Linked DNA regions of Oryzias latipes. The protein of the gene in region 3 purifies or fractionates together with the protein of the main gene of each other region. This does not show direct contact. Links are inferred from orthologs where the notes say so. Each region holds a gene or a part of one and is shown on either strand. Other genes may lie near its edges.

Region 1 (3,326 bases), on a different chromosome or scaffold from region 3:
ATCATATATATATATATATATATATATATATATATATATATATATATATATATATATATATATATATATATATATATATATATATATATATATATATATATATATATATATATATATATATATATGATAAAAAATCAAGTAAAGAGAAGCGCGCGCACAGCTCTCGTGTCTTTCTTTCGGTTTCTCATCTCAGGTCACATTGCACCTCACTGACTGACAGCACTATACAGAGACAATGCCCGGACATTTACAGTAACAGACATTATGTACACAGAAATTCAAACTGCAGAAGGAGATGAGCAGTAGAAGAGAAAAAGAAGAAATGATAATAATTATTATTATAATAATAAGATTAAAAAAATACCTGGAAATGTCAGTGCTGCTTTCTATGAGTTTCTCAGTGCTGCTCTTTTTTCTGCAAGTCTCTCCTCTTTTTTTTTCTATAGAAGGTAGTTATAATCATTTTGTCTGTTTGTACATGTAAAACGTTCAAGTGTAAAATGTTCAGCTTCGAGTTCCGGTCAGGTTCGCGCTCCTTCAGCGGGGGTGGGTGTGGGGGAGTCAGTGTATGAGCGGGTTGGGGGTCGAGCCCTGGTTCTGGTGCGTAAAATAATCAGACAAACCCCCGGAAAGTCCCGACGAGAATGCCGGCAGAGAGCCGGACAGCGCCGGCCTCAGACTGTCACACTGCAGCGAGGAAGAGGAGGGCGCCTGCGGGGAGTTGGAGGCAGACGCCCGCGCGGCCTGTAAGGAGCCGCCCCCGCCGCCCGCGCCGCTCTGCGGGGTCATGGACGGGTGCGGGACGTGGGGGAAAAAGTAGCTGGTCTGTCCGGCCAGCAGGTTGACCGAGCACGGATTCAGAGAGTACGTGGTCCCGGAGCAAGGTACGGAAAGGCCGCAGGGCACCGCCGAGGCCGCCAGGGCCGCCGCCGTCAGGTGGTGCGTGGCGTACGGGAGGTCTCCGCCGACGAGGCGGTCCATGCTGAGCCCGTTGGAGGACGGGAAGGAGGAGTGGTTGCTGCTCATGTTCTGGGTCAGCATGGTGCTGTAGGACATCGGGTGACCCGGGTAACCCGAGGAGGTCCCGTTGTAGCCCAGGGCGCCGCCGGCCCGCGTGTGGTGCAAAGACAGAAAGGGGGACATGGGCCAGTACAAGGACCCGGCCCGGTCCATAAAGGTCAGCCCAGAGGTCAGCCGCGCGCCGCGCTTGAAGGCGAGCTTGGCCCGGGACGTGGTGGAGCGCCGGCGGAGCTTCCCCGTGGTCCCACCGATGAAGACGTCGTCGCTGCTGGGGTCCAGCATCCAGTAGTTCCCCTTTCCCGGGTCGTCGTAGTGCCGCGGCACCTTGACGAAGCATTTGTTGAGGCTCAGGTTGTGCCGGATGGAGTTCTGCCAGCCCTGCTTGTTCTCCCGGTAGTACGGGAAGTTCTTCATGATGAACTCGTAGATGCCGTTCAGCGTCAGCCGCTTCTCGGGGCTCTGCCGGATGGCCATCATGATGAGCGCGTTGTAACTGAACGGAGGCTTCTCGTACTTGCCGCTCTTCTTCTCGCCGTCCTTCTCCGGCGCGTCGCCGTCTTTCCCGTCCTTCTTCTCCTCCTGCTTGTCTTTCTCCTCCGCGCAGCCGTCCTGGCCCGATCCCTCACTCTTCAGGCTGACTTTCCCCTCCGGCTGCGCGCACTGAAGCGGCGCCTTCTGCTCGGCGTCCTCCGCGCAGCCGGACCGGTGATGGTTCTGGTGGTGGTGCTGGTTCTGGTTGTCACTTTGCACGGCCTCTGGCACCAAACTGTTTATACTGAACGAAGATTTGGAGATCATCTTCACCTCTTTGCGCTCTCCCATGTCCAACATCACCGAGCAGTGAGGGGGGGCGACGGCTCCGACCGACAGAGACGAACACAGCTGGGCTTCGGTCCTTCCTGCCTCTGCTGGCGAACCAGGACGGGAAGGGAGGAAGGGGGAACAGACAGGAAGAAAGAAAGTATAGCCCAACAAACTATTTCATGTTCGGTTTGGGAGGAAAAGGGGAAACACACACAACACACATGTACACACACATCGATAGGAGACAGATAGCTGCAATTAATTTGGGAGCCGCAGCCACTAAAGCGAGTGAAAAACATTGGTTGGACCTTTCCAGTCCTCAGCCAACCAGGGAAACATTACGATTAAACATTGACGCGTCCTCGGAGCTGTCAGCCAATGGAGATGCGCGGGAAGCGCGCATATCCGCCAATGCTGGGCACGCTACAAAAAATGGCTGCCTGGAGCTGTTTTCCACCTCAAGAACGATCAAAATAAATCAGAAAATTGGACAAATATTTAGGCTTCAGAATATAATTTTAGATTTTTTTGTGTGTTTCGGATTTATGCAGAGGGATTTATTTACTGTTGTGCCTCAATTTCCACACTCGTGTCATCTTTTGTTGTTACATTTATGTTCTGCACCAAACCCTGAGGTTTTTTTAATAGATTTCTCAGCTCCCCCAACTTTTTGCAGCGTGAAAAATACTCACCCCTGTTCACTCCAGTCATCCCTCCCCACGGCTACACGTCCCCCCACCCAAGCCCAGGAAAGAAAAGTGACTGAAAACACGCACCGTGCGTGCGTAAACCCAGATCCCCGCCGCTCCAAACTGTACACTCTTCCGACTCAAATATTTGCCTTCTTGGTGTATACAAAACTGTTTAGCTGTGGGGCTCGGAGGGAAAATAAACTGAGACGGGCGAGTCCGCGGGCCACGGACACGGTCACGAAGCGCGTGGATGATTTGTGCGTCAGAGCGCAGCCAGAGTGCGCAGCGCGCAAAGACCGCGCTTGTCCGCGTGTAAAGTGAGCGTGAAATATGTAGAGACGAGGCGTAAACACAACCTCATGTGAGTCTCTGCGGTCACTTACCGCCCCCACCCCCCTCTCCGAGGACGATTTAACAGAACTGGAGGCAACAACGCTCCGGGTAACAGAAGACATGGAGCTCATCTGACGGCGCCCTCAAGCTTTCCAAAGGCTCCCCAGAACATTCACAAAAATACAATATTTTGCATCACTTCCTTTATATGTTTTTCAAAGATTCACGGTTTTTATTTATTTAATTATTTTGCTGTTGTGAACCAATCTCTACAAACTCCTGACAGATCGTCCGTCACGAATTTATTGGATCCCACAAACAAATCCACTGCGGTTCCGTGGTTGTGATTCTATAAAGTCTCAGCCGGAAAACTTCATAGCATCTCATGATCGTTTTTTTTTCTTTTTCTGTGAAGCTGGTAACACCGAGATTTCATGCAAACGCTTTAACCAAACCTGTCACTGGATAGGAACACCT
Region 2 (3,127 bases), on a different chromosome or scaffold from region 3:
CTGGAGGTGCGCGAGCGCACAGAGCCGCGCGCAGAACGTCAATGTGTGACTGTTGCTGTGTCACTGATAACTTCACTTGACTGGTCTGCAACATCAACAACAAAAAGCCCAGACAGTGCCTCCTATTGTTCCACTTTTATTCCCAGGGAAGCTGGTTAAAACATTCACAAATCCCCTGAACTCATGGTTACACTTTATTGTGTTGGATTGCACAACTTTAGGAACACAAAGCTGCTGCTCGTCAATAAACCTTCAGAAGGCAATTGTCGGAGTTATTTCACTCACTTTTGCCCGTCTGCTCTTACGTCTATCTAACAATAAAGATAAGGAAATGAAATTATGACCTGATATCTTCAAAAGCCTTGAACGCCGTGGGGCGGCTACAGGCGGGAAGGGGGAGGAAAGGGGGGGGGCGGCGGCGGCAGCGGTGTGATCGTGTGAGCTCTCCAGGCTCAGAAATATCTCTGCTCTGGCTCACATTCCGATAAGGGAGCCCGATCCAGCTCTCTCCGTAGGCGTGGTTTTCCCAGGCTTTTAAAACAGCAGCTGCTATTTACCTTCCCCTCTAATGTAAACCACTGCCGCCGCCACATGCCCTCCCCTGGCCCGGCGGCCCCCCGGCAGCCCGGCGGCCAAACCTCCAACCACCGCGCTCATAAAACATCCTGGCACGTGCTCCACATTCGCAACACGGACAGATGATTAAGTGGCAAACTTTTGTCAGTGAAATGTTTCTGCAGAGAAATGATGATCCCGTGTCTCTGCGTGCGTGTTCACCCCCTCATGTGCTCCCCTCGTGGGCTTTTGGAGATGTTTTCTTTACTAAATTGATTATAACCGCAGCCTAAAGCCAGGATAAGAGCCCTATTTTCTTCCCCTAAAAAAAACGCGCACCACTTTTCATGTTTAAAAACATAAAGTTATTAGTCATTTTAATGTGTCTAAACACAAAGATGTTTCTCTTGTTATCACAAGCCTTGCAGACTAAAAGTCATGCCCAGTCAGCGGCTCCACTGTTAATATGGAAACGGCGCGATGATTGAAGACTGAAGGCAGTTTCCTCGGCTGCGCCCTGAACTCGGGCCGTGCGCCATTGGCCGCCAGCTCCGGCAGCCAAACAACCAATGGGAGGGCGCCGACCACGAGCCGTCCTCTCTCGGGCCGCGTGTCCCTCGCCCTGATTGGTAGAAAGTTACTGTGGGAAAGAAAGTTTGGGAAGTTTCACACGAGCCGTTCGCGTGCAGGGTGAGATATAAATACATGCAACAAGAAGAGTCTATCAGACAGATCTGCTTCTGGTTGAGGCGCAGCCGCCGCGCGCATCGCTCTGACGGATACATACCTCAGGATTTTTATTTGTCCTTTTTTAATTCAAAGGAAAAAGGGACTTTTTGCCAGTTTGAGCGCATCAATTTACTCATTTCCTAAACCAGTGGATCCTAATTGTGGGATATTTCTAATAAGAAGATGCCTGCAGATATGATGGAAAAAAACTCATCCTCTCCGGTCGCTGCAACCCCGGCAAGCATGAACACAACTCCCGACAAACCCAAGACAGCCTCGGAGCACAGAAAGGTTGGTACATTTCATCAGAAATGCGCTCTCGTTCTTCTTCAGCTGGTGCGCATCGATCCAGAAATGTTCGGATCCGAATCATGACGTATATTATTTTGTTTTATTTAGTCCTCAAAGCCAATCATGGAAAAGAGAAGAAGAGCCAGGATCAACGAGAGCTTGGGTCAACTGAAAACACTCATCCTAGATGCTCTCAAAAAAGATGTAAGTGTTCCGGTTATCGGTCGATTTCAAAGCGTTTCTTGTCAGATAGTTGGCGCGTAATGCTGACCAGGTGTGTTTCCGTCGCTGCAGAGCTCCAGACACTCCAAGCTGGAGAAGGCGGACATCCTGGAGATGACGGTGAAGCATCTCCGGAACCTCCAGAGAGCTCAGATGACCGGTAGGTCTAATTTTACAATCCGATCTGTTGCTTAACGTAATCATCTGGACTAGAAAACACGACTCCAGACTCTACATGCCTGTGTTGACTCAGATGTTTGTCTCGCCGCAGCTGCTCTGAACACAGACCCTTCTGTTTTGGGGAAATATCGCGCCGGATTCAGTGAATGCATGAATGAAGTCACCCGCTTTCTGTCCACGTGCGAGGGGGTCAACACCGAAGTGAGGACGCGGCTCCTCGGCCACCTGGCCAACTGCATGACCCAGATCAACGCCATGAACTACCCCAGCCAGCATCAGCACCAGCATCCGCTCCCATCCACCGCGGGGCCAACGCACCCGTCCTTCAGCCAGCCCATGGTGCAGATCCCCAGCTCGTCCCCGCAGATCCTGCCCATGAACCCGGCGTCCTGTAAAGGCGGCTCCTCGCCGGCCGCACTGCCTTCGGACGCCACCAAAGTCTACGGGGGCTTCCAGATCGTGCCAGCCACAGATGGACAGTTTGCGTTCCTCATTCCCAACGCGGCGTTTGCGCCGAACGGCCCCGTTATCCCCGTGTACGCCAACAACGTCAGCACGCCGGTGTCTGTCCCGGCTGCCGTTTCCCCGGGAGCCCCGTCAGGAACCACTGATTCAGTGTGGAGACCGTGGTGAGAGGTGGAGGAGTGACTGAAAACATACTCTCTAGTTCAACATGTCATCATGATAGACTTTTCTTTTTTTTTTCTTGTAAAATGAAGAGTATGCACTATATTTGTACAGCTAACAAGGGACTAAAGTTCATATTGAAATGAGATTTGTATTGTGGAAGTTCGTTCACTGCATTTTTATAGGCTATATAAATATATATATTTGAGTTGTCTTTTCTACTGTGTGACGCCAAAGACATGTTTGATGCTGTCCTGTTCTTCGTTTTGGAAGACAAATAAATTTGTAAAAAAAAAAAAATGTTGAAAAGTCAGTTTTTTATCATATCAAATGGAACAGACTTTAAGTTCACTTCTTTGTCCATTACTCCAAGTTAAAGCTGAGATTTTAATGTGAAAGTACTGCTTTTGTGCATGGAAAAAGTTTCTGAAGTGTATTTTCCAGGACAAAACTTGAGTTAAAAATATGAAATCTTAGTTCGTGACATCAACCAAATTAAATATTTTTGACCATAAAACACATC
Region 3 (4,170 bases):
CTAGCTGTTATCCAACAACATAAGAAACCGCTCAGGTTTACTAGAACTAAGCAGATACAAATAAATTAATTAGGTAGAGAAAGCAATAAGTGCGCTTTACTTATTTACTGTTACTTGAGAGCCAACTGCCACTTAGGGGGTGCTTGTTGACAAAACTTCAGAACATAAGACGGTCAACTCATGTTTTCACATCAAGTTCTTCATAAATTTACAGAGTAAATATGCAGAAGAAAACAAAATTATGTGTTTTTTAGCCAAATAAACAACATTATGTGTTATTTAGCCAATAAACATTTGCTGGATAATATACTTTATCTGTTGGAGTCTAACAAGTAGTAAATCAGACGCTGTCGTTTTTTATTTATTCATTTTTTTGTCAAAACCTAATTTTTATTATTTATACTGCCATTATTGATAATTCTATTAATGTTTTTTGTTGAAATTTGGGAAAAAAAACAATTTTTTTAACCATTGGGAAAACTACAAATAATAAAAATAAATAAATAAATAAACAAATAAACAAATAATAACAATATTAATAATCATATTTTTTTTGCATTTTTAATGTATATTTTCGTATAGTTCAAGTCCCCCTAAAAAAGAAAATGAATAAAAATGTGTTTGTCACATCTGGTCAGAAAAAAACGAACAAAAATATAGCTCTTAGTTTGTTTATTTAATGACAGAGTGTATAAATATTTGACCAAAATCTTGTCGTGAAATAAAGAAATCTGCTACCAAAACCCTAAAATATCTCAAAAACTTTAAAAGTCATTGATGAAATAACTGTGCTGTCTCACCAATTTAGAACTTATTATGAATGCAACATATGAGTTAGCTCATTAGATTTCTCCTTTAGGAGGTGGGACATGGAGTAAGTGCTAGTATAAGATGAGTGCAAATATTGGCTCCAATTGGAGAGGAAGAGAGTAGCAGAATGAAATTCTGTGGGTAGAAACATGGATTTCTGTTGTTTTTTATTTTTTGCGCATATGTGATAGAGTTTATTCTTGTTTGTTTAAATACATGCCCATGCTCGTTAGCATCTTTATGGATGTGTTTCATGCGCACGCATCTGCGGCTCCTTTTGGCCCACGTTACTTTGATTGACAGGTAAAACTTGCTTTACACACCACAATTCCCGCCCCCGTAAGCCTCAAAAGTTCCACATCCTTATCGAATGCTCATTGGCTAGAATCCTTCTAGCTGATCGAGGTCAACGGACCAGAGGAAGTTTGCCGAACTCCTATTGGTCGACTGCCGACGCTACGTCGTTGGCCCCACGTGGATCGGCGGCTCTGATTGGCTAGAGACCATTTAGAGGGCTGGTTCAGAGTTTCGGTTAGACGGAAAGCGTGACACCGCGTGAGAAAGTTGCCATTGATGGAAGGCAGAGCGAGACGGAGGAGTGTACGTGCCGCTGTGGGAGTTTTTTGTTATCAAAACTAACGACATATTTCCTAATTTTTGTAAAATCTAGTTTGGACACAGGCTTACGTACAAATTTGACTTGGATACATCTTTCCCTGATTTATTCACCGCCGACTACCGACCTAGCCAAGTGGAAACTCTTCAGTGAAACTAACTTGTATTTATGTGTGATGATGCTAACCTAAAGCTCGGTGTTTTACGGTTCCATTATTTTTTTCTTTTGTTATTTTTGCCCGTTCGGTTGACGGTTCCTTCCCGGAGAATTGCCAAACAAATACAGGAGTGACTGAGGTTTCTGCCTCGCCTTCTCACCTGGTTCTCGCCGTCCTCCTTCAACTTCAAGCTGGCTCCGGCTAAATGAGCTGTGTTTTTTCCGGTTGATTATATACGGACGCTGCCGCTGAAGCGGACGAGGGACAACGACCCGGGACCACAGCCAGCCAGGAGCGGGGATTCACGCTAACGGCCCATGAACGTAGACCGAGCAGTGGATAGATTTGGTTTTCTGTTCGAATATTTAAGGACAACTGAAAGGCGGATGGATTAGTTTCCTTAATCAGGAGCTTCATACATCCTTGTTGTGCTTCATTTGATCCCTCGTTAGCGGGGTTTCAGGACAAGACGCGTTTGCAGTCTCCCCGGAGATAACAATGTTTCCCCAGGGAAGACACCCGGTAAGCTACTTCCTCTTTTTGCTCCATACTTCAGCAGGTTGAAACTGTTTACAGGAAGTATTGCCTCTTTGTTTGATTTGCACGTCTCACACACCCCCACCACCACAAGCTCTCTCAGGCTCCATGCCTGCTTATCTCCTTTTCCCTTGATAATTCTGCTCTACATCTGCCCTGGGGGCATCAAAGAAGAACTGATAATATTGTCTGATCAAAAATTGAGAAGTTGTTGATCTAACATCTTAGCTGCAGGAGGAGATCATATGCAGCAGACGGCTTAATCCTGTGTGTTGGTGTGTTTCAGACACCCCATCAGGCCCCGGGCCAGCCCTTCAAGTTCACCATCCCTGAGTCACTTGACCGCATCAAGGAGGAGTTCCAGTTTCTTCAGGCACAGTACCACAGGTGGACAACAGAGACGGGATTCACTCTGAATGGCCTGTTGTTTCTGAGAGGAATTTCTTTTTTTTCTTCACATTGTCATCCACCCGCTAATACAAACTTTCAACATCTAACCACAGCTGCCCTCCTTTGCCACATTACACAAAAACACACAACTCTAGCTACAGACAAAACCACCAACCCTGACTGGGTTCACATAGTGAAAAGCAAAAACATAAGCAGTTAGTACTTTCACTGTGGTAGGTCCAGTGATGGGTGAGAGTTACAGGGAGGCTTCATAAATCTTCCTTTCTGTCCCTGCATGTGTAGATAGTGCTCCAAGTATTATTTGGTGTACTTTTTCAGTAGTTGATCTGTAATTTGTGTTTTTATGGAATGTTGGGCACAGCAGGTGGAAACTGCCGATCCTCGTCAAACATTTAAATAAAACAGACATTTTTTTTTCATTTCTTTTGTTGACAAGAATCTAAACTTTGATGGTAGAAAAGAGAGATGATTGAATTTTTGTCACAGAGTTGATTGTGTTCCTTTTTTTCTTGTTCAGTCTCAAACTGGAGTGTGAGAAGCTGGCCAGTGAAAAAACTGAGATGCAGAGACACTACGTGATGGTAAGCTTCTTTCTCTGCTCCTGAACCTAACAGAGATCCATATAGCGTTTGGTGTTTTTTGGGTTTTTGAGGCTCCTATGGTGTCTTTGTCTTTTTAACTGTGCTTTTTACCTAAAGGTGTAATAAAACCCAACAATCACAACAACAACAAGAAGGCTTTTCGCACAACTAAAACAACATTCCAAGAATATGTGCAACTTCAAAAAAAAAAAAAAACTACAGCCAACAAAATGTCGTAAAAAATATCAGTTTGGTTCAGGTGAAGCTGTTGTGTTGACTGTATTGTTAAACTGAAATACCTAAAACACTCCTTACCTTTACAGAAAGGTGTGTTTTAAGTCTTAACAGCCTGTAAGTGCTTTGAAGCCACATTGACACTCAAAGGAAAACGCCTCAGACGCGTCTTTTATGTGTAGTCTTACTCAGACATTGATGAAGACCCCACAAGACAGTGGAGTTTAATTTAGTTGTTTAAAAATACATTGGAATCTGAAGTACAGCATTTGACGAATCTACTTTCTTGGACTACAACTGCCTCTGGCAATGATCAAGGGACATTTTTTTTAGTAAAACATGCACAACAGCAAAAACTGCATGATTTTTTATCAAAGTCTTACCTTTTAATTGTAGCCCTGTAAGTTTCAGTTAGAAATGGCTACAGGGGAAGCTGAAGTATTCATTTGAAAAATTATTTATTTTATTAGTTGAAGCATTTGACAAATTTGCCCGTGTTGTTTAAAGATGTGCTTTTTAGTTTGATACTTTTCAAAGTTTTCGGGGTTTATCTCACTGACATGTGCCTCTTCTCTCTCTAGTACTATGAGATGTCGTACGGCCTCAACATTGAAATGCACAAACAGGTACGCCTGCTTATCTGTGTCGTCTACATCTTCATGTTTGAGCCTCTTCCTTCTTTTGTGTTCCACTTCCTTATCGAAAGGGGTTTTGTGGTATTTGTTGTGTACGTGTTGACATGTCCTGTGTTTGTGTGGGCACACAGATGCTGTATATTTGTGTTTATTCGTTTGTGTATTCTTTTTTTTGTATATATTGAATGC

The links.
Region 1: the proteins of transducin-like enhancer protein 1 (region 3) and foxg1 purify together in Homo sapiens (affinity purification with western blotting; 3 studies listed by BioGRID and IntAct, with this or other methods). This does not show direct contact. The link is inferred for Oryzias latipes from reciprocal best matches to the Homo sapiens genes TLE1 and FOXG1.
Region 2: the proteins of transducin-like enhancer protein 1 (region 3) and hes1 purify together in Homo sapiens (affinity purification with western blotting; 4 studies listed by BioGRID and IntAct, with this or other methods). This does not show direct contact. The link is inferred for Oryzias latipes from reciprocal best matches to the Homo sapiens genes TLE1 and HES1.

What each region holds. Positions count from the first base shown.
Region 1 is NC_019880.2:2,901,601-2,904,926, forward strand, and holds foxg1 (forkhead box protein G1), read right to left. Parts: upstream 1,843-3,326; coding exon 1,682-1,842; intron 1,541-1,681; coding exon 805-1,540; intron 712-804; coding exon 562-711; downstream 1-561. UniProt on the Homo sapiens protein: Transcription repression factor which plays an important role in the establishment of the regional subdivision of the developing brain and in the development of the telencephalon.
Region 2 is NC_019862.2:12,732,779-12,735,905, reverse strand, and holds hes1 (transcription factor HES-1), read left to right. Parts: upstream 1-1,467; coding exon 1,468-1,575; intron 1,576-1,683; coding exon 1,684-1,779; intron 1,780-1,869; coding exon 1,870-1,957; intron 1,958-2,068; coding exon 2,069-2,610; downstream 2,611-3,127. UniProt on the Homo sapiens protein: Transcriptional repressor of genes that require a bHLH protein for their transcription. May act as a negative regulator of myogenesis by inhibiting the functions of MYOD1 and ASH1.
Region 3 is NC_019867.2:10,616,631-10,620,800, forward strand, and holds the start of transducin-like enhancer protein 1, read left to right. Parts: upstream 1-1,363; 5' UTR 1,364-2,081; coding exon 2,082-2,105; intron 2,106-2,406; coding exon 2,407-2,507; intron 2,508-3,048; coding exon 3,049-3,112; intron 3,113-3,927; coding exon 3,928-3,972; intron 3,973-4,170. UniProt on the Homo sapiens protein: Transcriptional corepressor that binds to a number of transcription factors. Inhibits NF-kappa-B-regulated gene expression. Inhibits the transcriptional activation mediated by FOXA2, and by CTNNB1 and TCF family members in Wnt signaling.